Linked DNA regions of Notamacropus eugenii. The main gene of each other region encodes a partner of the protein of the gene in region 2 in a complex. Links are inferred from orthologs where the notes say so. Each region holds a gene or a part of one and is shown on either strand. Other genes may lie near its edges.

Evidence for each region.
Region 1: the proteins of CMKLR1 (region 2) and RARRES2 are in contact, whole or in part, in a cryo-EM structure (PDB 8ZJG), measured with the Homo sapiens proteins. The link is inferred for Notamacropus eugenii from reciprocal best matches to the Homo sapiens genes CMKLR1 and RARRES2. Residues at the interface, in NP_001135815.1 of Homo sapiens: Asp20, Tyr21, Leu22, Asp23, Ser24, Ile25, Val26, Val27, Leu28, Phe88, Leu92, His95, Tyr103, His104, Asn116, Leu119, Ile120, Met123, Arg178, Leu183, His184, Gly185, Lys186, Ser188, Cys189, Phe190, Asn191, Trp203, Thr205, His217; in NP_002880.1 of Homo sapiens: Leu34, Phe37, His38, Phe60, Thr75, Ser76, Cys77, Arg96, Leu111, Gly112, Arg113, Leu114, Val115, His116, Cys117, Pro118, Ile119, Thr133, Leu136, Arg137, Gln139, Arg140, His146, Ser147, Phe148, Tyr149, Phe150, Pro151, Gly152, Gln153.

The regions. Positions count from the first base shown.
Region 1 is NC_092874.1:96,509,534-96,525,616, reverse strand, and holds RARRES2 (retinoic acid receptor responder protein 2), read right to left. Parts: upstream 8,044-16,083; 5' UTR 7,946-8,043; intron 6,254-7,945; 5' UTR 6,226-6,253; coding exon 6,028-6,225; intron 4,888-6,027; coding exon 4,783-4,887; intron 3,249-4,782; coding exon 3,150-3,248; intron 2,862-3,149; coding exon 2,745-2,861; 3' UTR 2,734-2,744; intron 2,511-2,733; 3' UTR 2,329-2,510; downstream 1-2,328. UniProt on the Homo sapiens protein: Adipocyte-secreted protein (adipokine) that regulates adipogenesis, metabolism and inflammation through activation of the chemokine-like receptor 1 (CMKLR1). Also acts as a ligand for CMKLR2.
Region 2 is NC_092875.1:23,694,486-23,710,783, reverse strand, and holds the start of CMKLR1 (chemerin-like receptor 1), read right to left. Parts: upstream 7,297-16,298; 5' UTR 7,188-7,296; intron 4,921-7,187; exon of another isoform or gene 4,489-4,920; 5' UTR 4,289-4,488; intron 2,759-4,288; exon of another isoform or gene 2,451-2,758; intron 2,444-2,450; exon of another isoform or gene 368-2,443; intron 1-367. UniProt on the Homo sapiens protein: Receptor for the chemoattractant adipokine chemerin/RARRES2 and for the omega-3 fatty acid derived molecule resolvin E1.

The DNA.
Region 1 (16,083 bases), on a different chromosome or scaffold from region 2:
TTTGAAGAATGTATATGATCACAAACCTCATTACTGGCCCCCCAGGATCATATCCAGTTAGTTTTGTCCCCCTTATTTATGTTTCCTACACTCTCTCAAGGTAAATTAAATCTAGATCCTCATTCTTATGGAGATGTTATACTTGAATCCTCTTGCTTTCTGTTTATATAGAGAAACCAAGCATTCCAGGCCTCTTCCTGAGTGTCCTATGCCTCCCCTCCCCAACCCCACTCTCACAAGACTGATACCAAAAGAGCAAGTGCTTGCACCTAAGCTGATTCTCTGTCCTCCCCACTCCCATGGCCCCAGATAGAGGGTTGTGATGGGGTACTGGCTGCATATGTAAAGGCTTCTTGAAAAATAAAATATGCTGTCCTGGTAAGAAGTTCCTCTGTCTTCTTGGTACCTTATACCTATCTGCTTGCCTGCTTATAACACAGACCTGAGGGGAAGAAGGGAGTTGACTGTACCTTCTAAAGTTTCTGAGACAGAGGGTTACACATCTTGGGAGAGAGAGGTTAAGGGATGGAGGTGATGGAGAGAGCCTTCAGTTTCCAAGATTTTCGAAGAATTACCTATCTTTATTTTTTTTCTTTTTTTAGGCAGTTGGGGTTAAGTGATTTGCTCAGGGTCGCATAGCTAATGTCTGAGGCTGGATTTGAATTGTGACTCCAGGGTTGGTGCTCTATCCACTGCACCACCTAGCTGCCCCTTAGAATTACCTATCCAAAGTCATCCTTTAAAGCTCAGCTTAAGCCACAGCTCCTCGAACTCTTCTGAAACCAGTGAAATCTCTTACTGCTCACCTTCTCTGAAATTCTGCTAAAACTTAGGTAACCTGGAGAGCAGAGAGCATAATTATCTACTATTTTGTATAGTTCTGTCTTTAAATTACTACTTGTTGTTTTTTGGAATTACTCCTTCTTTTGGGAGATCTCTATATCTATAATGATTTTTGATACTGGTGTATGTTTTCTTATATTTACTCATCTCCAGCTTTAGTTCCTGAATTGAGGTTTTAAGCTAGAGCCAGGCTGTGGCCCCTGCTACACATTTAGGTGGAGTGGTTGGCCCTACTTGGTCTCACCCTTGCATCCCTAGTGTTCCTGTGCTGACCTCTACAATCTGGAGTTAGCTTCCCTCCCCCGACCTTATATATTTGAGGCTCAGATCACTGAATCTTCCCTTTCTGACATCTCAGGACAGTGTTAGGCATCACAGATACCCTGCACCTAGGGTATCCAGGTCCAAGTGCAGCTGCTGTGTTCTGTTCCCTGCCATTCTCCAGGGATTCCAAGGTCCCTACTCTGGGACTTTCTAACCACCTTGGGGTTTTCTAGGGAAGAGCTCTCCACTCACTTTCCTATCTGCCTTCTTTCCTATTGACTTCAGGTTTCTGATGAATTTTTTCCCTCAGAGTCAAGTGGAAGAATTCACTTACTATAGTTTCTTATTGAATTATTGAATTTCATGATCATTCAATCTGGTGTAAATTTCAGACTTTTTTGGAGTAGCTATGGTAGAGTTGTAGGGATAGGTACCTGAATCTTGGCTAAAAGTCGAACAACTCTGAGAAAATTTTTCCTCACATTGAACTTAAATCTATCTCCCTGGAACTCCCTGACTTTGCTTCTATGGGAGAGCAGAATCTACTATTCATTCCACATGACAACCCTTGAAGTGTTTGAAGACAGTTATGTTCTATCTCAGGGCTTCACTTTTGTAGGCTAAACACTTTCATATGGAATAATTCTGTGCCTCTTCACCATCCTGGTTGTCTTCCTTAGAGCACACTCCATCTTGTCAGTGTCCCTCTTAAGACAGAATGCTCAAATCTGAAGACACAACTCCAGATGTGGTGTGACCACAATATTATCACCACCCTTGTGCTGGAAATTCCAGTGCTCTTTCCTTGAGCTCTGGTCTGATCTTTGCTCTATTTGTGGGTGGGATTGGGGTAGGGATAGGGGTAAATCAAGGAAGTAACCATAGTGGCAGCAACCAGGCTTGAGCCCCTTTTAAAAGTTTACTGATGCTTTTTTTAAGTGCAGTTACTTCCCAGTATATTATTCCCACCCCCTTGAGAATCTTCCCTTGTAACAAAGAAAGACAATTCATCAAAACCAACTGACAAATTAAGCCATCTGACAGCATCTGCCACATTCCTCCCCCCATAGTCCACCATCTCACTAGTGAGAAAAAGAAGGTACGTTTTATCATCTGTCCCAAGGAATGGAGATTGGTCATTGCCATTCATCTAAGCCTTGACCCCTTCTCATGATGCCCATTTAGTTCTAAGGCACTGTGTAAGGAAGTGAACGCATGAAGTCGGAAGCACGTTTTATTTGAGACAGGAAGAAACAAGAGTGCTGTGTACAGGGTTGGCAGGGTCTGGCCTCTTCTCCCAGGTAAGGTGGGATAGGGGGTGTTTGCCCTGATGGGTAGGAGGGATGTTGAAAGCCTTCACACTATTCACTGGTTTTCAAAGGGATTGAAAGCAAGGTTGCACCCTGAAGAGAAGAGAAATTGTTGAGTTAAGGATGAAAAAGAAATTCTTAACTCCATTCCCATCTCTTCTACTGACTTTCCCAATGCCTAACTCTGTTCTCTATCTTGACCTCACTCAGTCCTGGATCTAAATCCTAGCCTTATTCTCAGTTCTTAAACCCATCCTCCCAGGCTATTCCTACCCATGTGCAGTTTTTTTTTTCCTTTCCTCCCAGAGATTCTTACCTGCTTAGGATTCAGCCAGAGTTGTGACTCCTAGAAAAGGCATATGTGCCAGGGAAGTAATAGCTATGGGGCTCCTCACCAGCTTTTTCCACTTGAGTGCATTGGCTTTCCTGCTGCCCATCAGGATCCTAGAGATACATTTAGGCTTGGTCTTGGCCACAGGGTCAAAAAAGGAAACCACTTTCTTCTACTCTGCCAAGTCCTTGACTTGACCTTGTCTCACTCTCCCTCCTCCCTTCTCCCCTTCCACATACCTGAACCATTTCATCTCAGGGAACAGATGGTTCCTGTCCAAGATCCCTCTTCACCCAGTTACCTTCTTCTGGGCTATTCAGACACCATGGTTCCCTTCTCTGTTCTTTCTTCCTCCACTCTCCCCCTTCCCTCTACCTTAGAAACAAAGCATCAAGGTTTACCCTTTGACTCCCCGGGGGCCCAATGGGGCAGTGAATCATCTGTTTCAGGATCCGGTCCTTGGAATCAAACTTGATGCAAGCCAAACAGCTCCTCTTCCGCTGAGATCATAGGGGCATAGGTCAAAGGATGATAGATCTAGAGCTGGAAAGCATCTTAGGGGTCAGCTAGTCCCACCTCTTCATTTTACAGATGAGGAAACTGAGGCCCAAAAAAGAAATGACTTGCTCAAGGTCACTCAAGTAATAAGTGGCAGAGGTGGGTGACAAACCCAAGTCCTCTGACTTCCAATCCAGCACTCTTTGTCCTATGCCACATTGGTCATATAATAGATGAATTTGTATCAGGGAATGGGATACACTGGGGACATGGAAGGTTAGAGCTGTTGTGGGAAGAGACAGTTGACTATGGGGTGGGGTAGGGGATATGGGGTCAGCTGTACTGAAATGGAAAGCACTAGAGGCAACAGGCTCATTTCTTGGCTAAAGGGGACCAGAGATTGAGGGGAAGGTGGGGTTACTAATGACAGGTTGGTCTAGAATAAGTGGAATGCAGAAGCTGGTGCCCAGAAACTCCTCCATCTAGGACTTTGGGATCTTAGAAATCATTTAATCCAACTCCTTCATTTTAGAGGAAGAAATTGAGGCCTAGACAGGTTAAGTGATTTGCCTGTGATTACTGAGTGAGTCAGTAGCAGACTAGACCTAGAATTGAAGTCTATAGATGTCTGATCCAATGTTCCTTCCACTACATCACATAGTTTCCCCTAAACTGGATTGGTTCTGATTAAGCTCTGGTATTTAGGTCTGTATTAGTTCGGTCTTGGATTCATCCAGTGGGCTAGATCTGGGGCACCGTCATTTTAAAAAATAAGGGAATCCTAGGATATTCCGTAGTCCTGGGAGATCCCAAACCAAATCCTCTCCTTTGGGTCTCTCTAATGTCTTGAATTCTAGAAGCAGGAGGTAGAATCAACCTTGATATCTGGGGACCTCAAAGCAAGACTTTACCCAGGACCTGTTTGATACTACCCAATCTGCTCCCTTCCTATTTCCTCACCTTTACTCTTGAAGATTAAGCTCATTCCTACCCACACTCATCCAAGGGACTCATGTGAAATTGACTCAAGCTCCAGAAAGCTGTCTGTGTACCCCTCCCCACTGACTCCCAATGCCCTGCCTTCCCAGATGACATCTCTGTTCTCAAACCTTCTCATTATTTTTCCTCTCCCTTGAGCCACACAAAGATTCACATGTTCCCATAGCTCCCCATCTCATGCTCTGTCTCTCTGACACACAAAAGAGGCACCTGTTCTATTATCCAGACCACCCCCCTCCATTTCTCATACATTTCTCATACACATACAGTGCAAGTCCTGTTACCCTTCTAGGTATACACAAAAGACATATGTTCCACTGTGTATACACAATACACTAAAGGCATATACCAATATACAGACACAGATTCATATCATATGTACTCACATTTTGACATAGGGATCCATTATATATGCAGGCATTCATTCATCCCTCTGTCCCAGACATGTTTCATTATAAGGACATGGAGACTCAGATCTATGTTCCCAAAACCACACAAATACACACACACAGCAGAGGGGAAATGATTTTCACTCACCCCATTAGGCTTAACCTTGCACTCAGCATTCTTCCAGTCCTTCTTTCGGCAGCTGGTCTGCTGGAGTCCAAACTCCAGTCGAACAAATGTTCCTCCAGGGAATGACTAAGGATAAGACACAAAGGTGAACCAGTGACCAGCTCCCCTCCTTTATCTTGTACCTTGTAGGCTTCATTGAGGTTAAGGGCATTATCTTACTTCCACCCAATTCTTTCCCCCACCTCCCCATGCCTAGCACATTGTTCTGTAAACAGTAGGCATTTAATAAATGCTGGTTGCATTGTACTGCTTTATATGGCACTACATTGAATCATCAGTGTTGTTTTGCTGTTTTTCAGTTATGTCCAACTCTTCGTGACCTTTTTGGGGGTTTTCTTGGCAAAGATGCTGGAGTGGTTTGCCATTTCCTTCTCCAGTTCATTTAACAAATGAGGAAACTGAGGCAAACAGGGTTAAGTGATTTGCTCAGGGTCACACAGCTAGGAAGTATCTGAGGCCAGATCTGAACTTAGGTCTTCTAACTCCAGCCTGGTATTTTGTCCACTACACCACCTTCCTACCCAACTATATTGCATTGCTATCCCTCAAGTGAGCTGGCTATAAGAAGATGACATCCAAGTATGGTACAATGGAAAGAATATTGGATTTGTAACCAGAGAACCTGGGTTCAAATCCTGGCTCTGCCACATATTATCTATGATTTTGGACAACACAATATCTCTGTAGGCTTTGATTTTCTCATCTATAAAATGAGGCCACTGGACTAAATTACTTCTAAGGCTCCTTAAGCTTTAATCTGTGATCCTATAATCTTTTCTTGACATCTGGAGGCTTATAAATTCCAAATAACTTCCCAACTTGCCTCCTGAGCATCTGATGCTATCACCAGCTGTCAGTGGTCCTACAGCAATAGCAGATATGAGCTGTTTCTCCATACATGTGCCCTGGCCATATGTCCTCCACATGTGTGCTCACTATTTCCATGGAGAGTCTGTGTCTCTATGAGAAAGTGTGCTCCAGCTTTGGGTGAGATAAGGTTCTGTTGTGACTATTTTTTTACTATGTTATTTCATTAAATGCCTTTGAATAAAAACCAAACCAAACCAAAAGAAATCCTTGCCTATTAGAGAAATACTGACATCTCTGGGGTGGAACCCCAGATGCACCCCTCCTAGAGCAAAGTAGAGAATTCTTGCAATATATCCCCCCACCCTCATTGCAGTCAAAGGGGTCCCTCCCACCCACCATGTCACTGGCATTGTTCACACCAATCTCCTTGAATGCCCACTGCACAGGTGGGTGATTGTGGAACTTCTCCAAAGCCACCTGCAAGCCCCGTTGTTGTGGCACTGAGAGCTCATCTGCCCTGGTTCCAGTGGGCCCCAGGGCACTAAGCCACAGGGCCAAGGGCAACAGCAACTGCCTCATTTCTTTTCTGCACATCACAGTCAACTGGACTCAGGACAGGCACCTGCATGGAATGAAGTTGTGTCCGTGAGAGCTAGATTCCACCAGCCAAATCCCATACTCTCTACCCTCCCTCCACCCCCTACTCCATCTTTGTCTCTTCTGTCACTCAGACTCAATGTCATGGTTTACTGCTGGTCCTGGTTTGCCCTTGGGCTCATCCTTTAGTTGTATGGGAGAAGCAGGGCTCAGGAAGTGAAGGAATAACTGGATTGGGAGGGTAGGGGTCGATGTGGCCTTAGATGGGGCCATCCCTAGGGAATTGGGGAGCAGGAGACAAATATACTCTACCCTAAATGAAAAAGAAAGTGAAATCAGAATAAAATGAACAACCAGGGAACCTTTAACAGAACAAAGAGAAATGTGGCACAGTGGGAAGAGTCCTGGATTTGTAGGCAGAGGACTTGGGTTTGAAGCTCAGCACCGCTAATTGGATAAGCTTGGCCAGTCCTTTCACTTGGATCTTAGATTCCTAATTAATAAAATGAAGAGGGGTGATTGATCTCCGAGCCCTTTTGTAGCTCATTTCCTAGGACCACCTGAGCCACATCAGGGTAATGGGAGTGGTTTATAGAAGAAGAGAGGGGCAGATAGTATAGGACATTTAGTTAGATTTGTTTAGCACCAGCCTGGGATGTCCCTCCTCATCAGCTTGCTTCTCTAGGTTAACTGCAGCCTCTCCCAGTTCTGGGTCCATCAAAGCCTGGGGGTAGGGTTAGGGTGGGAACTGAAAAGGGAGAGCTACCTCCTATGAGTCCTTCCTGAAAGTGTCATTGCAGTGGGTGCTGTCTAGCTGGCTCTCTTTCCTTCCCTTCCTAGTTTTCTCTTTTGTAGCTCCCTTCCCCAGCAGAACATATTGGGAAGAGCTACTCTCTGAAGTTTCCCAGAAATTGGAAATGACGTCAGAGCCAGGGCCAAGTTCCTGAGGCCGGGAAGCAGACTCCATCTTCCCTCCACCCACTCTCCCATTCTGCCTTCTGTGCTCCTCCCATGCCTCCCCTCTTCTCAGCTCAGTCTCCCTCCCCAACCCCTTCCACCCAGTATCCTCCCCCTTCCCCTTCTCTCCCTCCCTCCTCTGGGGTCAGGTCAGTGCCCTGGACTTTCCCAGCGCTCGGGAGGTCCTTGCTCCACCCCCCTGGCCCCTGGCACTGAAAAGGCCTGTGGGGGAGGGAGGAGAATCGAGGGACCGGAGGTGAGGCTCACACCGAAGATGAATATTTTGAGGAGGACGTAAACATCCTGAAGAGGGGCTGAGCTGGAGCTTAACCCTCAGCATGCTGGGGCCTGTTGCTGGGCTGTCCAACCCAAGAAATCTGGATCTCAAGATTCCAGCTCGTCTTCCCCTTGCAGAGCCTCCTGGTTCCTAACCGACACTGGCTCTTTTCTAGTTTAACTCCTTCCCCTAAAGGCCTCCTTTTCCCCCTCTTTTTTCTGAGGCCAAATCACTTCTGTTTCTTTCTTCTTCCTCCCAGTTTCTGACCTTTGGGAGTCAGACTTCCCCTGCTCTCTGGTCACCTACTAGCTCCACTGTGGCAAACCCTTTAACAGTTCCAAAGCTTGGTATAACCCCCAGGCTAAGAGGAACAGAAAACTGAACTTTGGCATCTGCTTTTCCCTTTACCTCTGACCCACCTCTATCTCCTCACCCTCCTGTCCATCTCCCATTTCCCTCCCCTCCACCGCTCTCCCATTTCACCTTCTTCTTAGCTGGGAATTCTGGACCTCTCCTCTTAAGCTCCCGGTAGCAGTCTGCCTCTCCTCCCCCTTACCCCCCCCAACCTCCGCCTCCCCAGCTCCTCCCCTGCATCTGGTCTCTGCCCCCATCTCCTCCCACCTCTGGCTCCATGACTCTCCCCCCCCCCCCCATTACCACCATCCAATCCTTCTAGGTCCCTACTCCCACAATTTCTAGGGTGCCTTTCTGCCCTAACCCTGAAGGATCCAGAATGGTCTCCCATGCAGCAGTCCCAGGCCTCTACCCCACCCCTCAAACCTCCTCTTCTTCCATTCTCCCTGACACCCTCCCCCATCCAAGTCCAGGGAAGTTGGCCAGCTGGCCTGACCTCAGTCAAGGCAGTTAGCTGAGCTCTTCCACCAGACTGAGCCATCAAAGTAGGGTATCCTGTCCAAAGGACCTACCTTTGGGGTAAATGCTGCCACCCCTCAGCCTTGCGTAGTCCAGACCTTGACCCTCCAAAGACCATATGGTCTCTCCCCTTGCTTCTAGACAGGGCTGCCTTTAAACATCTCTTGCCTCTTTCAATTGCCAGTGCTGGGTCTCACACATATCTAGTCAGAAAGTTCATTCTAGAGCCATGGATCCCTTGATTTGACAATAAAATAAACATTTACTGAACCCTTATTATGTGCTCTGTGCTAGCACTGGGGATAGAAAACAATCCCTGCCGTCAAACAACTTACATTCTATGTGGGTAATAAGGATACATTTATACAAATAAAGGATATAGAAGAGACACATTAGTCTCCTTGCTAATACAGTGACATCTTGCTATAATGGGAGATTGATCAGAAGAACTTCCGCTCATGAACCCCTCAATCAACTTGATGAGATTATAGGGCCTACACCAGGAGTGTACTGAAGCCAACTCTTACCAGTTTATGAAAAGGAGCTGCTAAATTTTTAGTGAGTATTCACACTTCAGAAACTGGCAAGCACTACAAATCAGGACTTGTTTTATTGTTTAATTGATTGTCTTCTCTAGACTTAAGAAAATGATGCTGATTAAACTTTAAAATGTGTCAAGTATACTTTTGAAGGGCCCTGTGCTAAGCATTTACCATCACTCTCCTAGACTGGACTCTTGTCAGAAGGGGGCACTTCTATGCCACTTGCAGAGAGGGAAGGAGAAAGGGAGAAGGACAGATTCTTGACAGAGAATAGTGTAGTTAGTAAGAGCAAGCTCTCTCTTTTGATTCCCCAGCACACGGTGAAGGAAGAATGCAGCAAAGAAGGGGAGTGGGAAAGGGGATTTTTCTTTCCCTCTCAATCCCACCAGGAGCAGCAATGGAAATTATTGGTAGAAGCACCATGGCAAACTGAGAGTCTCAATTCTAGATGACTTCTGCCTTCCTATTCCCTTTTCTGAGCACAGGTTGTTGACTAGTTTACTTATGTCCTAATTGGTTTATGGGCAGCTAGATGGCAAGGCTGACAGAGAGCTGGGCCTGGAGTCAAGAAGACCTGAGTTCAAAACTGACCTCAGACACTTACTAGCTGTGTGATCATGGACAAATCACTTAACCATGTTTATTTCAGTTTCCTCATCTGTAAAATGATCTGGAGAAGGAAATGGCAGACAACTCCAGGGTCTTTGCCAAGAAAACACCAAATGGGGTCACAAAGAATTGGACTCCACTGAACAACCACAATAATTATTCAATAGTCAGTAAGCATTTATTAAGCTCCTCCTTTGTGCCAAGTACTGTGCTAAACTTTGGGGATACAAAGAAAGGCAGAAGGCTGTGTCAGCCTCTCTGACACAGATATAGTTTCATTGGCCCTCTGGATTCAGAGGTTGATGTGGATAACAGATAGAATAAGGGGTGGTGAGAGGTCAGACAAAGGACTGCCCTAAAATTTTTGAGGGTGGAAGTGGGGGACAAAAGGCAGCAGCCACATTGGCCTCCCTGCCACCACGCTGCCTCAGGAAAATATAAACATTTACACTTCCCAAGGAGGGCTAGGTTTCTAGAATGGACAAGTTGTCTGGCAGTAGAGGGCAGTAACTAAAACGACCACAGAAAGAGTGAAAAGATATTTCAGGTTGCCCCTGGGAAGGAAGCAGCAGATGAAATCACAGAGTTGAAAGGGGATTACCAGACTTCAAGCTGCTGCCCTGATTTTGAGATTAGACTGTTTTTCGTTGTGTCCCAAGCTGTAGCATGAGAGCTGGAGTGTTTGTGATCTGATACTCACTTCCTATGGTCCTATGATCTAGACCCTCCCTGACTAGGGATGCTGCCATAGATGGGAAAAGAAAGGCTGCCCCAAGTGAATATTTTCCTTTGGTGGGGGGGTAGGGGTGGGGAGTGGAAAGAAATGCCAGGAGAATTGAATCTGGCAGTGAATGAAACTGGTTATCTGTGTTACATTCAAGCACCATTTTGCCACCCATTTATTTAATATAAATAAACTGCTTACTAAGAGAATGATCTTTAACAGGGCAGAAGCTTTTGATTGACTTGTGAAAGAATCTAGTGGGTGTACAAGCTAACAGAGTAATTTGCATACATATCTCTTGATCAGGGTTTTTAAACCTAGGGTCCATGTACACGTAGACCTGAGGGCTCCCATGAACTTGGATGAGGAAAATTTGTATTTTTAAATTTCACTAACTTCTAAGTGAAATCTTTTCCTCCAGTTATGAATATAGGCAAATGACCATGATAGTATTGTGACAAAGTACTAATACCAATAAAAATCACAGACATTTTCACATCATATTACAGTTGTTGCAGATATCTTGAAATATCATTTATGCTCATCACTGCTTTGAAATGACTATAGTTATTAGCCCCACCATTACATGGCAGGTGATTGCAGTTTTGCTGTCTACAGAATGTATTTTAATATATTGGTTTCCTTCGTAATCCTATGTGTTTTATTCTATGCATTTAAAAACATTGTTCTGAGAAGTGGTCCATGGATTTATCCAACTTGGCAAAAGGGTCCATGACACTCATAAAAGAGTTAAGAACCCTGCTTTAGATGGTTTAAGAGTCCAGGAGGCAGAGCTTTTGAGTAACTGACAAGAATGGCATTGGCTCCTGCTGATGACTGTAGACTAAAATTTAAAGGACTGGCCAGGCAGTTGTACACTCCAATAGTACAACCTAGTGGTGACAGTAAATATAGTGTAATTTGGAGGATGGCAATGCATTAATAACCAGGGTGTTCTGGAAGTTCCATAGGCCATGAGTCCTGAAGTAACTAAGACATTTAAGACATGGATGTGAGGACAAACGCATTCTGAACATGCAGAACACTTGTGAGATGGCTTCTAGTAAGGGAGTCATATGAATGAGTCTGAAAAGGTAGGCTTGAGTCAGGATGTGAAAGACTTTAATACTAAGCTTCAAAATTAATATTTAATCTTTGAGACTGAAGGTTGTTGAACAACAGATGTATGTTTTATTTAGAAAGGTTATTTTAAAAATTATGGGGGAGTAGATTGGATAGAGACAGAACAGAAACTTGGAGACCAATGGGAGAAGTGATGAGGCCTGAATTAAGGTAGGGAATAGTGTGAGGGAGAAGGTTATGGATGCAAAAGATGCTGCGGAAGTATGATTCACAAAAGTTGGTGGCTGTTTGGATATGAGAGGTCAAGGACAAGAAAAAGTAAAATATGACTTTGAGATTGTGCATCTGGTTAACTAGAATTGTGACACCCTCAGCAGAAATAAGGAAGTTTAAGGAAGGGAGAAAATAAATTTTGTTCTAGATATATTCAGCTTGAGATGCTTTCAAGACAAGTCCAGTCAACAGTAAGTTGACTTCCAGTCAGCAGGAAACTGGGCAGGACCAGAACTCAGAAGAGAGATAAAGGCAGGAGTTAGAGCTGTATCTAGTACATGCTTACAACAAGTAGCAGGAAAAACACTCTCATTTTGGGGCTAGAGTGGGAAGGGAACAGAGATCGAAGAAGTGACAAGTGGAATGCCCAAGATAGAAAGGGAGTAGGAAGCAGGGTAGGATAAGGAAGGAACTCACCCCAAAGTGGAAGAAATGTCAACATTATCAGTGACCTTGAAATTCAGTGCCCTGCGGCAAAGTTCCGGCAAACCTTACCCTAGTTTTCCTTCTTGTTGGTATAGATTTGGTAGTCACTTGCATAGCAATGATAATTGAATCCTTGAGAATGGATGAGATCATCAAAAGAGTATATAGAGAAGGTGGCTCCAAGGTGAAGCCTCGAGAAAACCCACAATTACTGAGTGAGATCTGGATGATGATAGCTAAGGAGACCAGGGAGACAGGCAAGGGGAGAACAAGGAAAGAACTATGTCATGAAAGCCCAGGGGAAAGAATGTGCAAGAAATGAGAGTAATCAGCAAAACCCAAAGCTGCAGAGATGAGGATGGGGTTTTATATTATATGTGATAGGGAATTAGGTGAGCTCAGGGCCTTTCTTCTGAGGCAGAGCAGTGAGTAGCTGGCCTCACAGATCTCTTTTTTTAATCATTCCCCATGGCTAGAATAGCTCTTCATTGCCTGTAGCTTGATGATTCTGATGTTTGTTTTTATTGTATCCTTTTTCCATTAGGGGCAGATTCTCATCATGGAAAGAACACATGCCATGGAATCTGAAGACCTGAGTTCAAATCTCAGCTCTGATAAAAACTACCTCTGTGATTTTGGGCAAGTTACTCATACTTTTTCTGGGCCTTAAATTCTTCATCTGTAAAATAATGAGGTTGGATTAGATAGACTAGATCTAAGGTTCCTTCTAGCAGGCAAGTTATTAAAGCAGTTTTTTTTTTTTTTAAAGAACCATTCTCTGTTCTAGGTGATGGAGAGAAAGGAAATGGGGAGATGGAGTATTCATACTTTAGGGCAGAAGAATTTAGGGGAATTGAAACTTCCTGGACTGGTAGCAATAGAAATGAGAAATACAGAAAGGGATTCTATCCCAGTAGCTCAAGGATGCTGGCCACCAGCACTGACCAGCAGAGAAAAGGAAGAAAACTCCAGATGGGATTGAATCCACCTGGCTTATTTGCTTTCCAAGTGTTCATCATTCACTTGACTTGTAATAGTCCTAATGCACTGTTCTCGTCATGTCATCACACCTCTACTCAAAAAATTTCAGTTCTTCCACATTACCTACCCCAGAAAGTATAGTCAGACATTATCTGACTGTGGCCTACTTTAGTTTTATGACATAATCCTTTTCTTCAGTTAAGTTGGACACTTCTCCTTCCCCTGTCCTCATGTATTATCTCTGTCCCCAGTACCAAGAAAGAATTCCTTTACCTTCTACTTTCATCTGTTGACTTCCTCTTCACTGGGGTACTACCTTCTCATGAAGTCTCACTCTCTTTGATTTCCCACTCCTTCAGACTGAAGATGAGTGATCTCTTGCTAATTATATTTTTCATAACTTCTTGGACTTCTCCTTTGCATTTACTTCACACTTGTGTGTCATATTTCTTTGTGTACCTGTTTTCCCTGACCTCTGTAAAGGCAGGGTTTACGTCAGTGGTTCTTAATCTGGGATCCACTGACTCCCAAAGGATTGAGGGATTTCAGGATGTATGTAAATGTGGATAGGGAAAAATATGTATACACACACACACACACACATCTATCTTTATTTTCACGAAGTGGTTTCCTTTGTAATTCTACATATTTTAGGCATTTAAAACTCTTATTCTGAGAAGGTTTCCATGGGCTTCACCAGATTGCCAAAGGGTTCCATGACCCAAAAAAGATCCCTGTTCTGTATTCTATGCCTCCTTTTATCTCTAGCACCTAGTATAGTTCCTAATATTTAGTTAGCATATAGTGAATATTTGTTAAATGAAGGAGTAAATGAAGGTCTCCTTCCTGACTTGGGTACTGTTGATTCACAATGGTTATCTGTATTTTCAAGCAGTCTTGAGGGGAAGAGTTGAAAATTAAAGTTTTTTGGACTTGAGAATCACAGGTCACACTGACCTCTTCTTCTGAAACTTAATCATGCCTTTGTTGTAGGTCATCACTTCCCAAGGGCAGGGAGACCCTGGCTGGGACTGGGATGAAAACCAAAAGAAGATTCCTCTTGGGGATAAGAAGCTATTGAGTGGGATAGGTTTAGTAAAGACTTCTCAGATTGTAATTCTTCTCCCAGGGGTGAGGTAAGACCTAGAGGCTCAAGGTTACAATATTTTTAGAATAGAATAGTTCCATATAAGGATATAAAACTGTGTAGTGTATTAGGGTCTCAATGTCTGGATAAAACTTACATAATTCCTCGATGTCTTCATTTCAAAAGGGATTGGTTAGATTTCATGTCTAGAATGTAAGATCATATTCTCAGCTAATGAGGATAATGGTCAGTAGGGGAGGAGGGACTTGCGTTAGGGTCTATATAAATCACTGCCTTTTCTTTGTCTTTGTCTTTCCTATTCCAGATGAACTGGTGTAGGACTGTCCCAATTCTCGAGAATCTAGTAAATAAACTTTCTGTCATCACTTTGAGAGGCCTCTGAGTAATTGATTTATGTAGGGACCTGAGCCATCCCACACAGTTTGGGGGCATTCACCTGGGATCTGTGACCTTTCTGAGAGACGGCTGGCAGCTCAGTTCAAAGACTGGGTGCCCGTGGGGAGATTTCCCCCATGGTCCTTGAAAAGGGCTTCTGGGCCTCCCTCTCTGCAAAGTAACAACCAGAAGCAGAGGAACTTGGTGAGGACAGAAAAGAATAGAGATAAGGACTCCAAAGACTCTGAAGCTGTGAAGTGTGTAAAAATGCCAACCAGTTGGTGTTGAAGTTTGCAGTCAGGCAACTTGTACGCATATACGACCCGGCAGTAAGCGCGGGGGGCGGAGGGGGGGGGGTCTGGGGGTCAATTCGTTGAGTCTTAGATAGACTCGGGGAGAAGGTGACATCTCCCAACCAAATTAGTGGACTGTGGGACCCCAGGGTGAAGGGCCCCCCCCAAAAACGCTTGCCGGGTGACTGCTGGTGGGGAGTGACCCCCACCTGAGAGCTGGCAAGGGAGCTAGCAGGAGAGCTAGCAGGGGAGCTAGCATAATTCACTGAGTCTTAGACTCAGAGGTGTTGGTGACAACCCTCATCCAAAATGAGACAGAAGCAGTCCAAGAATCAAGCTTCGGAGTGGAGTCAGGAAGAAATACTGGTAAACAGTCCCTTGGGAAACTGATTACAAAATTGGCATGAATTACCAAATTATAGAGAAAAGAATGTAGAAGAAGATGATTAAGTATTGTTGTTTCATATGGGGTGAAAAGACATCAGAGGAGGAGGCACAATTTGGCCCAAATATGGTTCCTCCGAGGACTGGGTTTGCCAAAAATTTAAACCTATATGTACTATTCTATTCTGTTAAATGTTTTGTCTGTATATGTTGTGTTGGTATTTCTGTCTGAATGAAAGTCTGTGTGTCTCTGTTTTTTATCTGATAAGGTTGTAAATTTAGCCAGCCAGCCAGCAGGAGCAGAAAGGCTGAGCTGAACTGTCCTTGAAATTCCTGTTACTCCCTTTCTTCAACCCCTCCACACTAGTTTCAGAGGGGCAGAGGGAAAAGGAGGGAGAGAAAGGAAAAAAAAAAACAAATTTTTACTGTTCAGCTTATATGGTTGGTAACAGCAAGTAAAAGAATGTAGGAGAAGTGTCAGGTTAGGAGTAGAAAGAAATAAATTATGTGCAGTTTCAAAGTGGCTTGAGGGAAAGGAAAGAGAATTTAAGCAGGTAGAGATGATGAGAGGAGCACGGGTACTGTGTAATCAGAAGACTTGAAAGAAATACAAAAGGGAGGGAGGGAATTTATCTTTGTCCCCCAGACCAAAGAGGCATGCTAACAGGCATTTAACCATTTCCTGCCTCACCCAAAGAAATTTTAGTGTGATGGGAAATAACAGAAAGTTAATTGAATTCATTCTCATTGTATTTGGAATTGTGAATAGGTGAAATGTGTCATTCTTAATATAATGTTTCAGATAGGTTAGAATTTATTAAAGTTTGGTGGAAGTAAGCAGAAGATTAGAAAGTAAAAGAAAATCTCAAGTAAGCACTTAGAGCTGAGAGTTTTGAATTGAGGTTTAATTAGATCAACATATTTGATGCCAGACAATGTATTTAAAGTAA
Region 2 (16,298 bases):
TCAGGTTTTCTGATTCCTAAAGCCTATGCTTTTTCCACTAACCCAGATCCCTCCTTCAATCAAGGATCCTATCCCTTCTTTCTTGGATATTTAGCAAGTCTTGCTAATAGCCATAAATTTTAGGTGCTTCTTGATGTTAGTGGAACCAAGCAGGACAATATGGCAGAATAGAGAAGATGCTAAACCTGGGGTCAAAGAAAATGACATCATAGCCTGATAACTCAGTGACTGGGTAATTCACTTCTCCAATTCTTTCCTCTGAAAAATAAGGGAGTTTGAACTCAGTAGCCTCTGATATCCCTCCCAGCTCCAAATCCATGATCCTATGATCATTCTATGTGAGCTAATGGTGGAAATAAAGTTTTACCTGTGGGTTCCCTGATCTCCCAATCTGCCTTGAGTCATTTGATGCATAGCAAACATCAAGGAGAAATTGTTATTCTTTGATGAACCAGTCTGCTGTTCAGCATTTCTATACTATGAATCTTCTCTTGCAAAAAAAGAGAAAGGAAGGGAGGAAGAAAGAGAGGGAGAAAGAAGAAAAAGAGAAAGAATGAAAAAGATAAATCTAGATGTCAATCATTTGTGTTCAAAGCTACAATGGGATCTGGGTCATCTTTGAATCTTCAAAATTCATTCTTGGTTTATGAAAACATTCTTAGAAAGTGAGGATAAATAAATGAAGGAAGGAATAGAAGAACTTAACTATGCAGCAGGATATGGAGGTCTGGGCATAAGGAGATTAATGATACTTACCTACTTCTGTCACCAACTTGTCACAGACTTAATTCCTTTCAAACCATAATAGTCTATATCCTATGTCCTGTGTTCTAAGACTCCTCCGAGCAATGACATTTCATGTTCTAAGGGCTCTTCCAACTAAATATACTCTGCATCATTGCTAATTGAAACCTCAGGTGCTCTCTGGTCCCACTTAACCATTTATGCCATGATTTCTTCTCCTTTCCAGGACAGAGGACTTTGGTGGGCTCAATGACCTATCACCCTGAGAATCCCCAGGCAGACAGCAGCTGGTGAGTTGCCTCATTTCTGGTAAATTCAGCTATTTCCCAAAAAGACCTCAGAGATCATCTAATCCAGAGCCTCCCTGAACAGGAATTGCCATATAACCTCCTAGACAAGCTCCTTAAGGGTAGAGACTAGTTTTTGTCTTTGAATCCCCAGTGTCTAGCACAGTGCCTTAGTAATAATCCCTTAATAAATGTTTGTTTAATGAATGGAGATGTCCAGGGGTTATCTCAAGGTACAGTGGAAGGAGGAAGGAGGGAACCATATACACACAAACACATACACACACACACACACACACACACACAGCAGAGGGCATGGGACTGTGCCCTAGGAGGAGGGAGGTGGGAGGTTGGGCAACAGCAGTAAGCCCTGCCAATTGGCAGAAATTCCTGGCATTTTGCCTGACCTCCTGGAGATCAGGGGAAGAAAGGTCATCCAAGAGACTCTAAGGTATATTTGGCTTGAATGACAGAATTTCTCAGATAACATTCAGATTAGTCACCTTAAGTTTGGACCCAAAATCATAAAACATGGTATATAAAGGATCAAAGAATATAGAATGCCCAAACTGAAATTGACCTTTGAGTCCAAAGGTGTCATTTTACATGCAAGGATGGTCAGTCATCTAGGAAGGGAAGTGATTTATCCAAGGTCACACGGAGCAAGTGACATAGTCATCAAAAGACACTTTCCTTTCTTTTCACTACAATTGCATATCTGCATCCAAGAAAATAGCTACCAGAAGCCCCCAGTCTAACTCACCTAACCCACTATATCTAGGGGATTCCAGACCATGATTCACACACTGGTCAATTATCCATCAGGACAACTGTAACATGTACCACTTTCTGAAGGGTACCCACCTTGAAATTTTACCAATGAGCTCTCCTGAGCCATAGAGCTGGCCCCAGGACACCCCCACCCCAGATCATGCTTCATATCCCATCCAACCACCCACCAAGACACTGGAGTCTGGGGTGGCATATGGCACATGGAACATTCACCCCAAACACAGGCCCCCTCTCTTACTTTTCACTTCTTGTTCTCAATCAGGGAACAATAATCAGATCAATCCTACCACTAGTACCAGAAAGCATGTGGCAGGGAGTTGCCCTATGACTCCACTCACCATCTCTGAGCTAACCAAAATGCTACCTATCCTACCTATGCCCAGCCCTACATGTATTGTCTCCTATTAGAACGGGTAAACTCCTTGAGGGCAGGGACTGGCTTTACTTTGATATTTCTCTTCCCTGGTGCCTGGCACAGTGCCTGGCACACACCAGGCATCTCATAACTACTTGTTGATTCATTCATTTCTTCATTCAGTAAAAGTCCCTCTTCCCCAATGCGCAAAGCTTTGTGGGCATCCCCGAGGATGAATCTTTCCTGGAAATAAGTTTCACTTCTCCCCGTACCTTGTCATCTGGAACTGCTGACAAAGCCTGGGGACTGCTTACAGAAGCAAAACCCAGAAAGCCTCAGTCCACAGCACAGGCCACAGATGGAGGGGCAAAAGGTCATTCATCATAAATGCTCTGGCCCTACGTCCTGATGCCAATGGCCAAAAGAGAGGCTGGGCAAGGATAGTCTCATTCCGGTGAGAGATCATGGGGAAAGGACTCAGCCAGGAGGCAAGAGACTCAGACTCCAGCCTCAGGTCTGTCATGACTGCCCACGTGACATATCCTAGTCATTTACTGTCTCCAGAACTCAGTGTCCTCACCTACAAAATGAAAAGTATGAAGCACATGATCTCTTCATGTCTTTCCTATTCTGGCCTTTTGTGTTCTCTGTTCCAAGGGCCCCTCCCAGCTCTGACATTCCCTGTTCTAAAGCCCCTTTCAGTTCCGACATCCCCTGTTCTAAGGCCCCTCCCAGCTGTGACATTCTATGTCCTAAGAATCTTTATCACTGCACTATTCATTAGTGTAAGAATTCAAAATATAAACCCACATAAACCATCAGTACTTCTATATTATCACCCTGCAAGAAGAGATTGTAAGAGAGAGTTCATTTAAAATAGTCATAGACAATATAAAATACCTAGAAGTATACCTGCCCAGACAAACCCAGGAACTATATGAATATAATTATGAAACACTTTATACAAATAAAATCAGATTTAAATAATTGGAGAAGTATTCATTGTTCATGGGTGGACTGAGCCAGTATAATAAAAAACAATTCTACCTAAACTAATCTGTTTCTTCAGTGCCATCCCAATTACATTACCCCCCCCAAAAAAAATTATTTTATTGAGCTAGAAACAATAAGAGCAGAATCCAAAATATAATGGAATCGGCTTCTGGGCACCATTACCTTGGCATAATTCATACAAAACAACACGCAGCCCCCTCCCCAACTTCCACTTGATTCAACAATTCCACAAAACTTATCTTGAGCAACTAGCCTGGGGTCTCCAAGCCCATGATCAGAAGTTCCATCAGGTCCTACTAAGCCAAATAAGTCCTGAGTAAAGCCTGGCAACATATTGTGTATCTTTGCTGTCTCCAAAGCAGCCTAATCAAAGGCAGATCTGCGTACCACTAGAGATCTGACTCCTAAGAGGAGATTTATTTGGAGTCTCAGCTACTTGCTATTTCCATGACCCTGAGCAAGTCATTTCCCTTTATAAACCTCAGTTTTCCCCATCTGTAAAATGAAGGTGCAGAACGAAATGATTTCTAAATATCCTTCCATCACTAAATTCTACAACAGTAGATAATTTAGATTCCTTTATACTTTATATTATTATGTATATCAAGACATTTTATATATTCAGGTGTATGATTATTTTTATTTGCCTTTATGATCAGTATATTTTTATGATTCAAGCTGATGTTAAAGATGTGTTTATATTCTGGTAACTAGCTGACCTTAAGGAAGTTGGTTCATAGGCTAATAGAATTTGAGCAGGAGGAGATCTCAGCCATCATTTAAACCCTAAGCCCCATTTTCCATATCTTAAGAATGATTGGGTTGGATGAGAAGGCCTTCCATATCCTTTCTTAACTCAGTATCTATACCCTTCATTTTACAGATGAAAAGTCTGGGAACCAAAGAAGCTGTGACTTACCCAAGGTCACACTGCTAGCAAGCAGCTGAACCAAAAACTGGCTGAAACCTACATCTCTTCATTCCAAATCCTGCCCTGCCCCCCATTTCCCACTGCACTACAGGGCCCAAGATCGGGCCTCATGTTCTCTCCCTCCTCCTATCCCCTCTCAAGAAAATTGATAGAAAAACTTAGTACCTTCCACACTGTGCTCTACACAACAGCTGTCTGTGATGCCCAGCACCTGCCTCCCGGCAGAAGGAGGGTGCCAACTGTCAGCCGTTGGATTCCGTCCTGTGCTGCCACTATATCTTGTCCATCCAGCTTTCCAGCCTCCTGTGGCCATTCATCCAGACCTCCATCCATCCATTCATCCAGGAGTAAGGGGTGGCTCCAGTCTAGGACAAAAGCAGGATAAGTAAACCAGAGCCCCTCATCTCTTCCCCCAGAGCTGGCTCTGCCTGCCCCACAATCCCAGACCCACTGAATGCCTGCTGCTTTTTTTTTTTAAGACAGCAGAGTTCCCAGGGTGGGATTTGGGCGGGCCGTCCTTCTGCAGGAAAAACATCTGGAAAGGGGTGAGCCCGGAAACTTGGCTGGCTTCCCCCCTCCTGACCCAATGCCGGGTGGGCTGAGGGCTGGGGTGGTGAGAGGCCGGCACAGCCCCTGTTTGCCAGGTGACTGGCCAGGGCAGAGCAAAGCAGAGCCCTGCACGAGTGGGAGCGTGAGGGGAGAAGGGGGAAGGATGAGGCCACAGTTCACTGCCATATGGCTGGGAGCTGTTCCCACAGCAGGCTAGAGACCCCCTCGGTGGGGGAAGGGGGGCTGATTGGATGACAGAGAACTGGGCTTGTGGGCTCTGAGGAGTGGGGGAGGAATCTGCAGGCTCTTACAAGGAACTCAGTCACTTCCTCCTCTGTAGGGGGGCCTCCCATTCCTGCAGGTGGGCCTCAGTGTAAGCACATCCCATATAGCCAGAAGAGTGAAGTCAGCAAAACAACATACTCCCTCCCCATTTTTCTCCTATTCTCCCCTTGTTCTCAGCTAGGGGAGTGGAAAGAGGAGGGATTTTAAGGGATCACAGGTTTTAACTTGGAAGAGACAGATCTTTGAGGCCATCAAGATCAACCAATTCTTCTTACAGAGAAGGAAACTGAGGCCCAGAGAGGGCAGTGACTTGCCCAGGGTAACACAGTCAGAAAGTACTGGAGGCTAGACCTGAACCCAAGTTGTGCAGACTCCCAGATCATCTCTGTCCCCTCTACCTCATTGTCTCAGTCAATGGATCCACCAAACTCCCCCTGCAGAAGTAGCTTCCTGCCCTTTTTCCTTATTGAATGACCTAGTTTGTTCCCCTCAGCGTCTTGACTGCAAGGTTTGTCATCTCTAGCAGGAGAATCTCAGTCCCAGACATGAAGGTCTTTAGAACAAAGGTCAGAGACGCGCTGCTAGCTAAGCAGCTGCTGCCAACAGGCCATGTCTTCTCTGGGATATTTTCATCTAATTTATGGCGAGATGTCCCTGTCTACGGAGAGGCAGTGCTGGATTTGGTCTCTACAAGACCTTCCTCAGACATGTACTAGCTGTGTGACCCTGGGCAAGTCACTTACCCTCTGTCTGCCTCAGTTTCCTCATCTATAAATGGGAATATAATAGCACCTACCTCCTGGGGTTGCTGTGAGGAGCAAACGAGATAATATTTGCAAAGCACCTAGCACACTGCCTAGCACATAGTAGGCATTTACTAAATGCTGGCTTCCTTCTTTCTTTGTGCTTCCTGATTTTAATCTCTAAAGATTATACTGCAATAATAATAGCTACCGTTTATAAAATGCCAGGCACTGTGCTAAGAACTTTACAACTCTTACCTCAATGGTCCCTCCAAGAAGCCCTGGGAGTTAGGTCCTATTATTATCCCCATTTTACAGATGAGGAAACTGAGATAAACAGGGATAAGTGACTAGCCCAGGGTCACACAGCTAGTAAGTGTCTGAGGCTAAATTGGAACTCAGGTCTTCCTGACTCCAAGCCTGGAACTCCATCCACTGTGCCATCTAGTTGCCAATCATCTTCTGTATGGGGGTCACTTACTCAATAACTTGTTTAAATATTTGCAGAGCTGTCACTTGAAAAAGATTATTCCACCCAGCCTCAGCGGAAAGAGCTAGAACCAGAAGGCAAGAGTTACAAGGAAGTCAATTTCCCTATAGTATGAGAAAGTCCTTTCTAGCAATTAGGTCTATCCAACAACAGAATGGGTTGCCTGGTGAGATAGTGAGTTGTCCATTCTTGAAGCAACCATCAAAGATGTTATGGAGAAGACATCTATGATGAGTGGAAGACTGAACTAGACCACATCTCAGGTCCCATTCACCTCTAAGTCTGGGATTCTAAGAGCTTTTGATTCTGTGATTCTAAAATTCTCTTGGAAAAAGTCGCTTCTCTCCACACCTTGCCCTCCCCTCTAAAATGAGGGGACTGGACAAGAGGTCTTCCTAGCTCCCTTCTGGCTGTAAATCTGATCCTATCTGTCTCATCTACAGTCAAATTAACTACTGATCATTTCTTGTACAACACCACTCATCACCTCTTGGAACTCTGAAATCCCTTCCAAAGCCAGCTCTGGTACCCACCCCCCCAACAGGAAGCCTTCCCTACCACTTGAGATGACTGTATACTTTTTGTTCGTTTCTACTATTTCTTCATTTGTTTTTCTGTGTACACATTGTATCCACAGTAGCATGCAGGCTCCAGGTTTCCTTTTTTTTTCTCTGCATCTCTACTTGACACATTGTTTGAAAAGGAATCTACAGCAACATGGGTGGATGCAGCACCTAATGAGGAAGCACCTAATGAGGAAGCAATTAGATCAACACCTATTCTACAATTTGCAGCCTTATTTGTAGCAACTAAGAGTATGCAAGTGACATGCAGGGTCACACAGCCAGCATGTGTTAGAGACAGAACTTGAACCCAGGTTTGGGGGTTTTTCACTCTAAAGATGGCATTCTATCCACTAGGATTCCTTGCCTCTTCCCTGGCATATATTTGGTGCTAAATGAGCGATCATTACATAAAATGGAATCGATGTACTTACATTATAATTCTCCAGACAGCACTGAGAAGGTGCTGAGTCTCATTCTGACTCTGCTAACACAGTCCAGGATCCTCAAACATTGTGTGTTTGGCTACAGGCCCGGAACAGGAATTCTTGGAAACCTGATGTTAAAAGTAGGCTTATATTGAAATATTCAGGGCATGGGGTAGGAGGAGTAGAGATGGAAAAATGTTCCCAACTGATTCCACCCACAAGGAGTTTGTCCTGGGAGAGACCAAAGAGCTCACAAGTTTCCACTGTAGATAGAAGAGCTAGAGGTGAGACTTCCAGTATGTGAAAGACCTTCCCCTCCTGCCCAGCTTCCTGCTTACCAAACCTTCACACTCCCAAAATAGCAGAGGGTGATGTTACTGCCCAGTTATGCTTCCAGAACTGGGGAAGAGAAGGAAGTCCAAGGCTAAAGGGCACACAAGGAGGGTGTTTCTTTCTAGGCTAGGGAGGGAGTGGGGCGCATTGAAGGACTTTACTCTTTACTCTTTTTTAAAAAAAATTAATTTGTACTAATTAAATTAATTCGTACCAATCCCTTTTGTGCTGATTAATCTAACTAATTTGCACCTGTGCCTTTTTAAATTATCTACATTTCCCTTCTCTCTGCTCCCAATCCATGTAACAAAGTCTAAAAAAGAGCAAGAAAAAACCAGATCCACAAAACTAGCCAACTCATCAAAAAAAAAAAAAAAAGGTGGCATCGTATGCCGTGTTCCTCACCCATGGTCCCCCACCTTGGCAAAGAAGTACAGGAAGTGTTTTCTCCTCTCTCTTCATGGCCGTTATAATTTGATGGTATTCAGTTTGTGGTAGTCAGTCTTGATATTCTATCCTTGTTATTGTGCTAGTGTATGTTTTTCCCCCTTGGCTCTACTTAATAATAATTATAATAATTAACATTTATATAGGACTTACTATGTGCTAGGTACTTTACAATTATTATGTCATTTAATCCTACAACTGCCCAAGGAGGTAGGTGCTATTGTTATTTCCATTTTACAGGTAAGGAAACTGAGGCCAACAGAGATTAAGTGTCTTGCCCAGGATCACATAGTTAGTAAGTGTCCAAGGTTGAAATTGAACTCAGGTCTTCCTGACTCTAAGCCTAGCTCTCTATCCACTGCACCACCCAGCTTCCCCATCTGTCCTTACAGGTCTTCCTATGATTCTCTGTATTCATTATATTGTCATTTCTAAATCCATCACATTCCTGTACCATAATTTGTTTAGCTACTCCTCAACTGATGAGCACCAACTTCACACAGTGCCTGGAACACAGTAGGTGCTTCATAAGTGCTTGTTGACTTGATTTGACTATATTTTGGTAGACATGGAGACTCCTTGTATCAGTGGCTTCCTTGGGGTATATGCCTAGCAGGGGGATCTAAGGGGCAAAAAGTGAGGACAGTGTAGGCAATTTTTTTCACTTGACTCCAAAGTGCTTTCCTGAATAGTTGGACCAACTCACCATTCTACCAACTATGTAATAGTGTTCCTCTCCCTCCACAACCCTGACAACATGATTAACCAGTTTCTTCTTATGTACAACCACTTATATACAACTATACATGGATCTGTAACTTCATCAGTTTGGGTGTTCCATCCCATAATGCCTACCTCAGTCCATCCCTGCCCACCCAACCTGGGCAACTCTCTTCCATGTCCTCTTAAAAACCTGCCACAAAGTAGTCTAGAATTATGACTGCTATTATGATTGTTAGCAATTCAAGTCACATTAAGTGTCTGCTGTGTGCCAAGGACTGTGCTGAATACTGAGGATACAAAGAAAGGCAATAGACTGACCCATGTAGTCCATGTGGTTCTCTCCAGCTTTAGGGACTTGATTTTAATTATGAGTTTAATCACAATTGCTCTGAGCCCCCAGTTAGCAGACATATCAAAAATACCTGAGGGCATTACTGAAATGGATCGGCCCATGGATGATCTAGTGATGAACCTCTGCACACTTAGTAGCTTTAGTAGCCAGCCCTACCACAAGGCGGCATTTCCCATTGCCACAGAACCCTTCCTTCTCACTCATACGAACAATGGGATATTCCATAGCAGGGGCACCAGTGCTGCAAGAGAGCTTAGAGTAGCTAAGGTGTAGTCCCAGCTCTGCTATCAACTCTCTGTGTGACCTTGAGTAAGTCACTGGAGATCTCTGGGACTTGGCTTTCTCTTCTGAAAATGAATATAATAATCCCACTCATCTATCCATCAGCTTCCACTCTGTCTGAGGATCCAATGAGATCCAGTGAGATGGGACAGTCAGGTCCTGGGATGCTCTATTTAGAGCTGAAAGGATCCTTTGAAGTTATCCAGGTCAACCCCTTTCTACAGAAGAGGAAAATGAAACGCAGAGAGGTTGTGACTTGCCTAAGATCATACAGGTAGTAGGGGCAAAGCTTCTGACTCTCAATCCAGTCTCCTTTTCAAACTGAAAATACTACCACACTGACTGGTTGTCATTTGTAAGACACTGGTTGGACTGAGGGAGGGGAGGGTGAGTTGTGCATCTGTGAAACAAACCAACAGAACAATGCAGATGTGAGACCCAAGATCTTGGTGGAAAAAGACCACACTAAATGCTTGGGACAAAGGTGAGATGAAGGGGAGACTGGCTGGTCCACATTGTTTCAGGAGAGCTGGCAAACCTATGGGACTTTTCATACATTATCTCATGGAGGTCTCACAGCAACCCCAGTAGATAAGTGATCCAGGGAATCCACCTCTATTGTCTGCTACCTGGGCCACCTTAGGATCTCGATGCTCCCTGAGGGCCCCTCCAGCTCTGGTTTTACAAACCTATGATTTAATTACTGTGTGACCTTAGGCAGGTATCTTCCTGTCTCTCTTCCCGTCTTCTCCATGGCTAAAATAAGAGCAGATGATGTCTGAGGCCACTCTCAGCTCCAGACTTATGGTCCAATCATCCTACATTTCTTTCCCAGTCATAGGGCCTGCGTGAGGCCTTTACTGACCCCTCAGTTATTAGCACCTGCTGTCTCTCAACATTGTCTTGTATTAGCATATAGGCATTTTGTATTTAGTTATGTTGTCACAGTCCCAAAGCCCATTTGCAGGAGGGGTGGGCAGAGCAGGCACAGAGGAGAGCATTTGGCCACTTCTAATGCCCAGCTTTGAGAGGGAAAATGGATGAGGCAAGTCCCGCTACAGGAGGCTGAAGGAAAAGATTCTGGGAAGACACAGGAAGAGGCCAGCCTCCATCACATCCCCAGTTATGACTTACTATAGGCAGATGTTGTATAGATGTTTTCTGACCCACACAGACACATAATGCAGACACACATACAACACAAACACACCCATGCCCACAAACATATATAGACACATATATACACACACAAACTCACACCCACATATATATACAGATACATACATACATATATACACAAACTCACATCCACACACACATATATACACATACTTGCACACATAAACACAACACACGTATATGAACATATATGCATATATTCACGGTATAGTCACACATATATACCCACACACATACACACATATACATAAATCATTCACACATTTGAACACACACACACACCCAAGAATATAAGTTCATTGAGGGCAGGAGTCAGTTGAGGGTGATAAAAATCATTCTAGCTTTGGAATCAGGAGACCCGCATTCAAATTCTCCCTTTTCTATTCCCTTGTTATACAATCTTAGGCAAGGCCCTTAACCTCTAGGGACTTCCCCATTTCCTCCTTTGCAAAATGGGATTCCAACAATCCTCTGATCTGTCTCTGTATCTTCCGTACACCTCATATAATGAATGCCTCACAAACATGTGTGTAGACATATGAATTTATTAATTTCTGTTTATAGGAAGCCATGTGGCACAGTGGGCAGACCACTGGACCTGGAGTCTGGAAGACCTGAAATCAAATTTGGCCTCAGCTGTGTGACCCCAGGTAAGTCATTTAAGCGCTGCCTACCTCAGTTTCCTTACCTGTAAACTGGACATACTAATAGCACCTGCATCCCAGGGTTGTTGTAAGGACTGAATGAGGTAATTAAAATATTTGAATATTCTTATTTCTTCTTTGTCTATCTGCTATCGCATCATATATGCACTTTACAGGTAGGGATGGTTTATTCTTTTTCCTTGAATCTCCAGTGCCTAGTACAATGTCTGGTACATTTAGACCATCAATAAATATTTGATTGATAAATTATGATTGGATTAATATTCCCATTTTGCAGCTAATAAAACTGAGGCCCAGAGAAGGAAATATTACCCAAAGTTACCCACAGGCAATAGGAGAGACAAGACCAGAACCTGCTTCTCCTGATGCCCAATGTGATGTACCATTCACACTGCCTTAGCGCCTGCTCTCCTGCTCCCACCCCTCCTCGAGTGGATTGGTCCTCAATGCACACCCTTCCCTCTCTCCAGAAAAGAACATTTTAACCATTCTGCTCTCCCTATCTTCCCTCATGGCTCACTCTTTGCCTCCTCCCAGCATTCCACTCCCCTCTCTAGGTCAGAAGCCTAACTTCTCTATCTCTCTGGGCCAGGGTCTCAACAGTCAGCCCCCCATTTCCTCAGGGCTGGGGGGGGTGGGTGGGAGGGTGGTTGGATCACCAGAGGCTGATGGGAGACTTCCCAATCCTGGACTCCTGCTGGCTGCTGTCAAAGGCCCTCCCAGCCTTAGAAAGAACACTCCTTGAGCTCCAACAGAGATAAAGCAGCCTCTAGAAATCTTGGATGGGGTACAGAAGGGGAGACAAAGCTCAGGAAGGATTTATGTAAATCGTCTCTTCCTCCCAGTCCTTGGAGGCAGGATGAGTTACTGCCGGCTCCTTTCGAATCAAACTATCCTCATGGAGCCAAATCAACTCCATTAAATGAGGTTCTGGTTTTATCAGATGGAAACTGCATCTGGCAGAGAAGATGAAGCTGGGCTTGGGGCCAGCCTAAGCCTCCATCCACCCAATGTCAAGTTCAGAATCCAGGGATGTAGTTCTAGCTGATGGACCCTGATGCAGAGCTCTATTAGACACTTCATGGCCAGGCTGAACAGCCTAAAAAAAGACAAAGGAATAGCGAAAGAGCAGAAGAGAGAGTGAATCAGGATGGGAACAGACAGGTACCACTTCCATCCAATGATTCTACCTAGTAATCAGAACCCATCTGGAGATTGTACTATCTTGGGAGGTAGTAAATCTCCTGTCACTGAAAGTATTCCAGCAAAGACTAGATGGCACTTGGCAAGGATGCAGGGAAGGGACTTACCTGCATTATTAATACAGGGTTAGTAGTAGGGTTGGGCTGCTAGGTGGGGCCATAGTGCACAGACCACTGGGCCTGGAGTCAGGAAAACTCATCTTCCTGAGTTCAAACCTAGCCTCAGATATTTATTAGCCATGTGACGATGGCCAAGTCACTTAACCCTATTTGCCTCAATTTCTTCACCTGTAAAATGAGCTGGAGAAGAAAATGGCAAATCACTCCAGTATCTTTGCCAAGAAAACCCCAAAATGGGGTCATGGAGAGTAGGATACAACTGAAATGACTCAACCACACAGCAGCAGTGTTGCACAACGGATAGACCCAACCTCAAAGTAAGGAAGCCCTGGTTCCAATCCTGACTCAGTATATGTTTTATACTGGTTGTATGATTCTGGGTAGATCACACCACATCTCGGAGCTGCAGAAGAGGCTCCAATCTGCATCGGCAGAGGGAGATCCTTAAACCATTGAAATCACAGGCACAGTCTCCAAACATGTGGTTATATCTGTGAAAGGCAAGCTGACCTATTGCACAGAGAGCTGACTTTGGAGTCAAGAAAACCTGGATTCATATTCCATCTCTGTATGGGCTGTGTGACTCTGGGCAAGTCACTTAACTTCTCTGTGACCCTGGTCCATTCTCTGACTCTAAGTTACAGAAGAAATGTTGATCTGAATAGCTGAAGGAAGTTGTTGCACAGGGAATTCCTCCATAGTGATGGTATCACAGGTCCAGAGAAGAAGGAGGAGAAGATAGAGAAAAAAGGGGAGAAGGACAAAAGGGAGAAGGAAAGAGAAAGAAGACAACAGAGAAGAAAGAGGAAGAGAAAAGAGGAGGAAAAAGACATAGATTGTTTTGTGATTCTATTTGGGGTTTTCTTAGCAAAGATCCAGAAGTGCTTTGCCATTTCCTTTTCCTTCTCATTTTACACATGGGGAAATTGAGGCAAACAGGGTAAAATGATTTTCCCAAGGTCACCCAGCCAGTAAGTGTCTGAGGCCAGATTTGAACTCAGGAACATGAGTCTTTCTGATTCTAAGCCCAGTGTACTATGGCACCACCTAGCAGCGCCAAGGGTTAGACTAGATGCCCTCAAACAACAATGCTGTGTTTCAACATCCTCTCAACTTTCCCCATAACTTTGAAAAGCACACTATGCCCAAGGAAACCAGAAGAGTCTCAGAGAGGGAAATTAATTTCCTTGTAGTCACACAGCTAAACCCAGGTCTTTGACTCGTGGTCCAAGAAGAGAATAGGATTACAGGAATTAGAAGTAGAGAAGTTAAATGAAATTGAGAACAGAAAGAGGAAGTAGTGTGGTGAGGAAACAGCTTTTCCTGTCTGGTCTATGATGAATCAGAGCCCCAAAGCTCTCTGATTTTCAAACAAGAAAATAATCATTAAAGTTTCAATTTGCTGCTCTCCTTACTTGAGGTGCCATCTCCCACCACCATGCCTTTGTCCAGGTTGTATCCTATGCCTGCAAAGCTTTTTTTTCATCATTTCCTCTTAGAAAGCTTGGGTTTCTCTTTAAGACAGCTCATTACTGCTTCTCAAAGGAAACTTTTCCTCATTCCCTTATTTGTTATTGCTTGTGCCTCCAAATTTTATGTATTTGCTAATTGGTATACATACTTTGATTGTGTCTCTTGTACTTTGTAAGCTCCTTGAGGACTAGAACTGGTTGATTTTTGTCTTTGCATCCCCATTACTTCCTGTAATACCTTCCACATATTTCTTAATAAATTCTTACTGAACTGATTTGAATTGAATTTCCTCAGAATCAGGAGCCATTATGGGAGAGAGGAATACAGTGGGGGTCAAACCCAAGGAGAAACTGAGGCCACTCATCCATACATAAGGATTCCCATGGGCCACATATTGGTTTAGTTTGCAATGTTATCTATATTTGATGTATTTGGTTTTGTTCAATATTTCCCAGTTCCATTTCAATCCGATTTGGAGAGTGTTGGGAATGCAGTGGGTCATATATGGCTGAGAGCTGTGTTTAACAACTCTAGTGGAATGGACATAGATCTGGCTTCAGAGCCAAGACAACCTGAGTTCAGATCCCACTGTGTGACCCTGGGTAAGTCACTTAACTTCTCAGTAATCTAGGTAACTTCTGTAACTTTATGATTGCCAGTCAGAAAAAGTGTCAACTTTCATGGGTAAAGGAGATTTCCTCACCTGGGAGTAGCCTATACAAATGAAAGGATAGGTCCTGCTGTTTCCCTGTTACTTCCTCAGAATAAGCTGGCAGGTAGCGCAGATATTATCACCCCCATTTTGAAACTTCAACTCATTAAACATTTATTAAACTCTCCACCAAATGCTGAGCTAGGTGGCTGGGGAAAATAAAATGTATGGATAAAACAGATGAGGAAAAGGAAGTCCCTTGGCAGAAAGAGCAAGTGACTTGCTCAAGGTCACACAACTAAGGAGCTACAGAGCTAGGATTCACACTCAGGTCCAGGATCTTTCTGTTAGGATACTCACTAGGAGATCACATAACCTTTCTCAACCTCACTTTCCTCATCTGTGAAATGGGCATGGTAATTAACCTGCAGTAGCTTCTCCCACAGAGTGGTCATGATGGTCAGAGGAGGTCATATGTATAAAGTGCCAGATAATTGATCTCTATTATTTTGACATGGACCTGAGCTTTCATTGGCAGCAAGGTGATGTGCTAAACTAGGTACTGGGGAGACCTGAGTTCAAATTCTCCCTCAGACACTTACTAGCTGTGTGACCATGGGCAAGTTGCATCACCTATCTGTTTCATCATCTGCAAAATGGAGGTATTAATAATGCCTATTTCACAGGAACACTGTGAGATCATCAATGAGCATTTAACCAGCACCTACTAGGTGCCCAGCAGTGTGTTAGGTGCTAAGGATACAAAGACAATGAAACAGTGTCTGCTCTCAAGGAAATGACATTCTAATGGTGGCAATAAGTGTACAAACAGATAAAGTAAGGGAGTCTGGGAGTAGATCTCTAGCAGGGAGGGAGGGGATCAGGAAAGATCTTTGGAGACACCTGAGCTTAGCTTTGAAAGAAATGATGACTTCCAAGAGCCAGAGGGGAGAAGAAAATACAGTCTAGGCACGAGGGTCAGCCAATGCCAAAGTGTGGAAAAGATGGCAGGCTGATGGGGAAGAACAGAAAGAAGGCCAGTTTGGTTGTAGCCCAGAGTATGGAGGGAAGGATAATGTAGGATAAGTCTGGAATGATAGACAGGGGCTCAGCTGTGAAAGGCTTTAAAAGCTAAATAGAAATTGTAGTTTTCTCCTAAGAGTGCTAGGGAACCATTCAAGTTTATTGAGTAGGAGAGTAACAGGGTGAGATCTGCTCTTAAGGAAAATCATTCTGGAAGCTATAGGGAAGATGGAGATGAATAAACTAATGTGACTGAGTAAAGAGCAGGGTAGAGACAAGAAATATTGTGAAAGTAGAGACTGGAAAGACTGGAAATAGAGAGAGAGAGAGAGAGGATAGGGCTGAAGACAGCACTGAAGTTTTGAAACTTGGAGCCTGGAAGGTGAGTGGTGCCTTTGACAGAAGTAGGGAAACTAATCAGAGCTGGGTTTTCAGGGAAAGAGAAAAGTGTCTAGGACATCCAATATGAGATATCCAGGAGGCAGTTGGTGATATGGGATTGAAGGTCTAGGGAGAGCTGGGGTTAGATCCAGGAGTCATCTGCATAGTTATGATGAAACCCAAAGGAAATGATGAGGAAACAGAGGAAAGAGAAGAAAGGAAGGGGAAAGAGAGAAAAAACAGAGAGGGAGGGAAAGAAAGGAGAGAGAAAGAGAGAAGACAAAG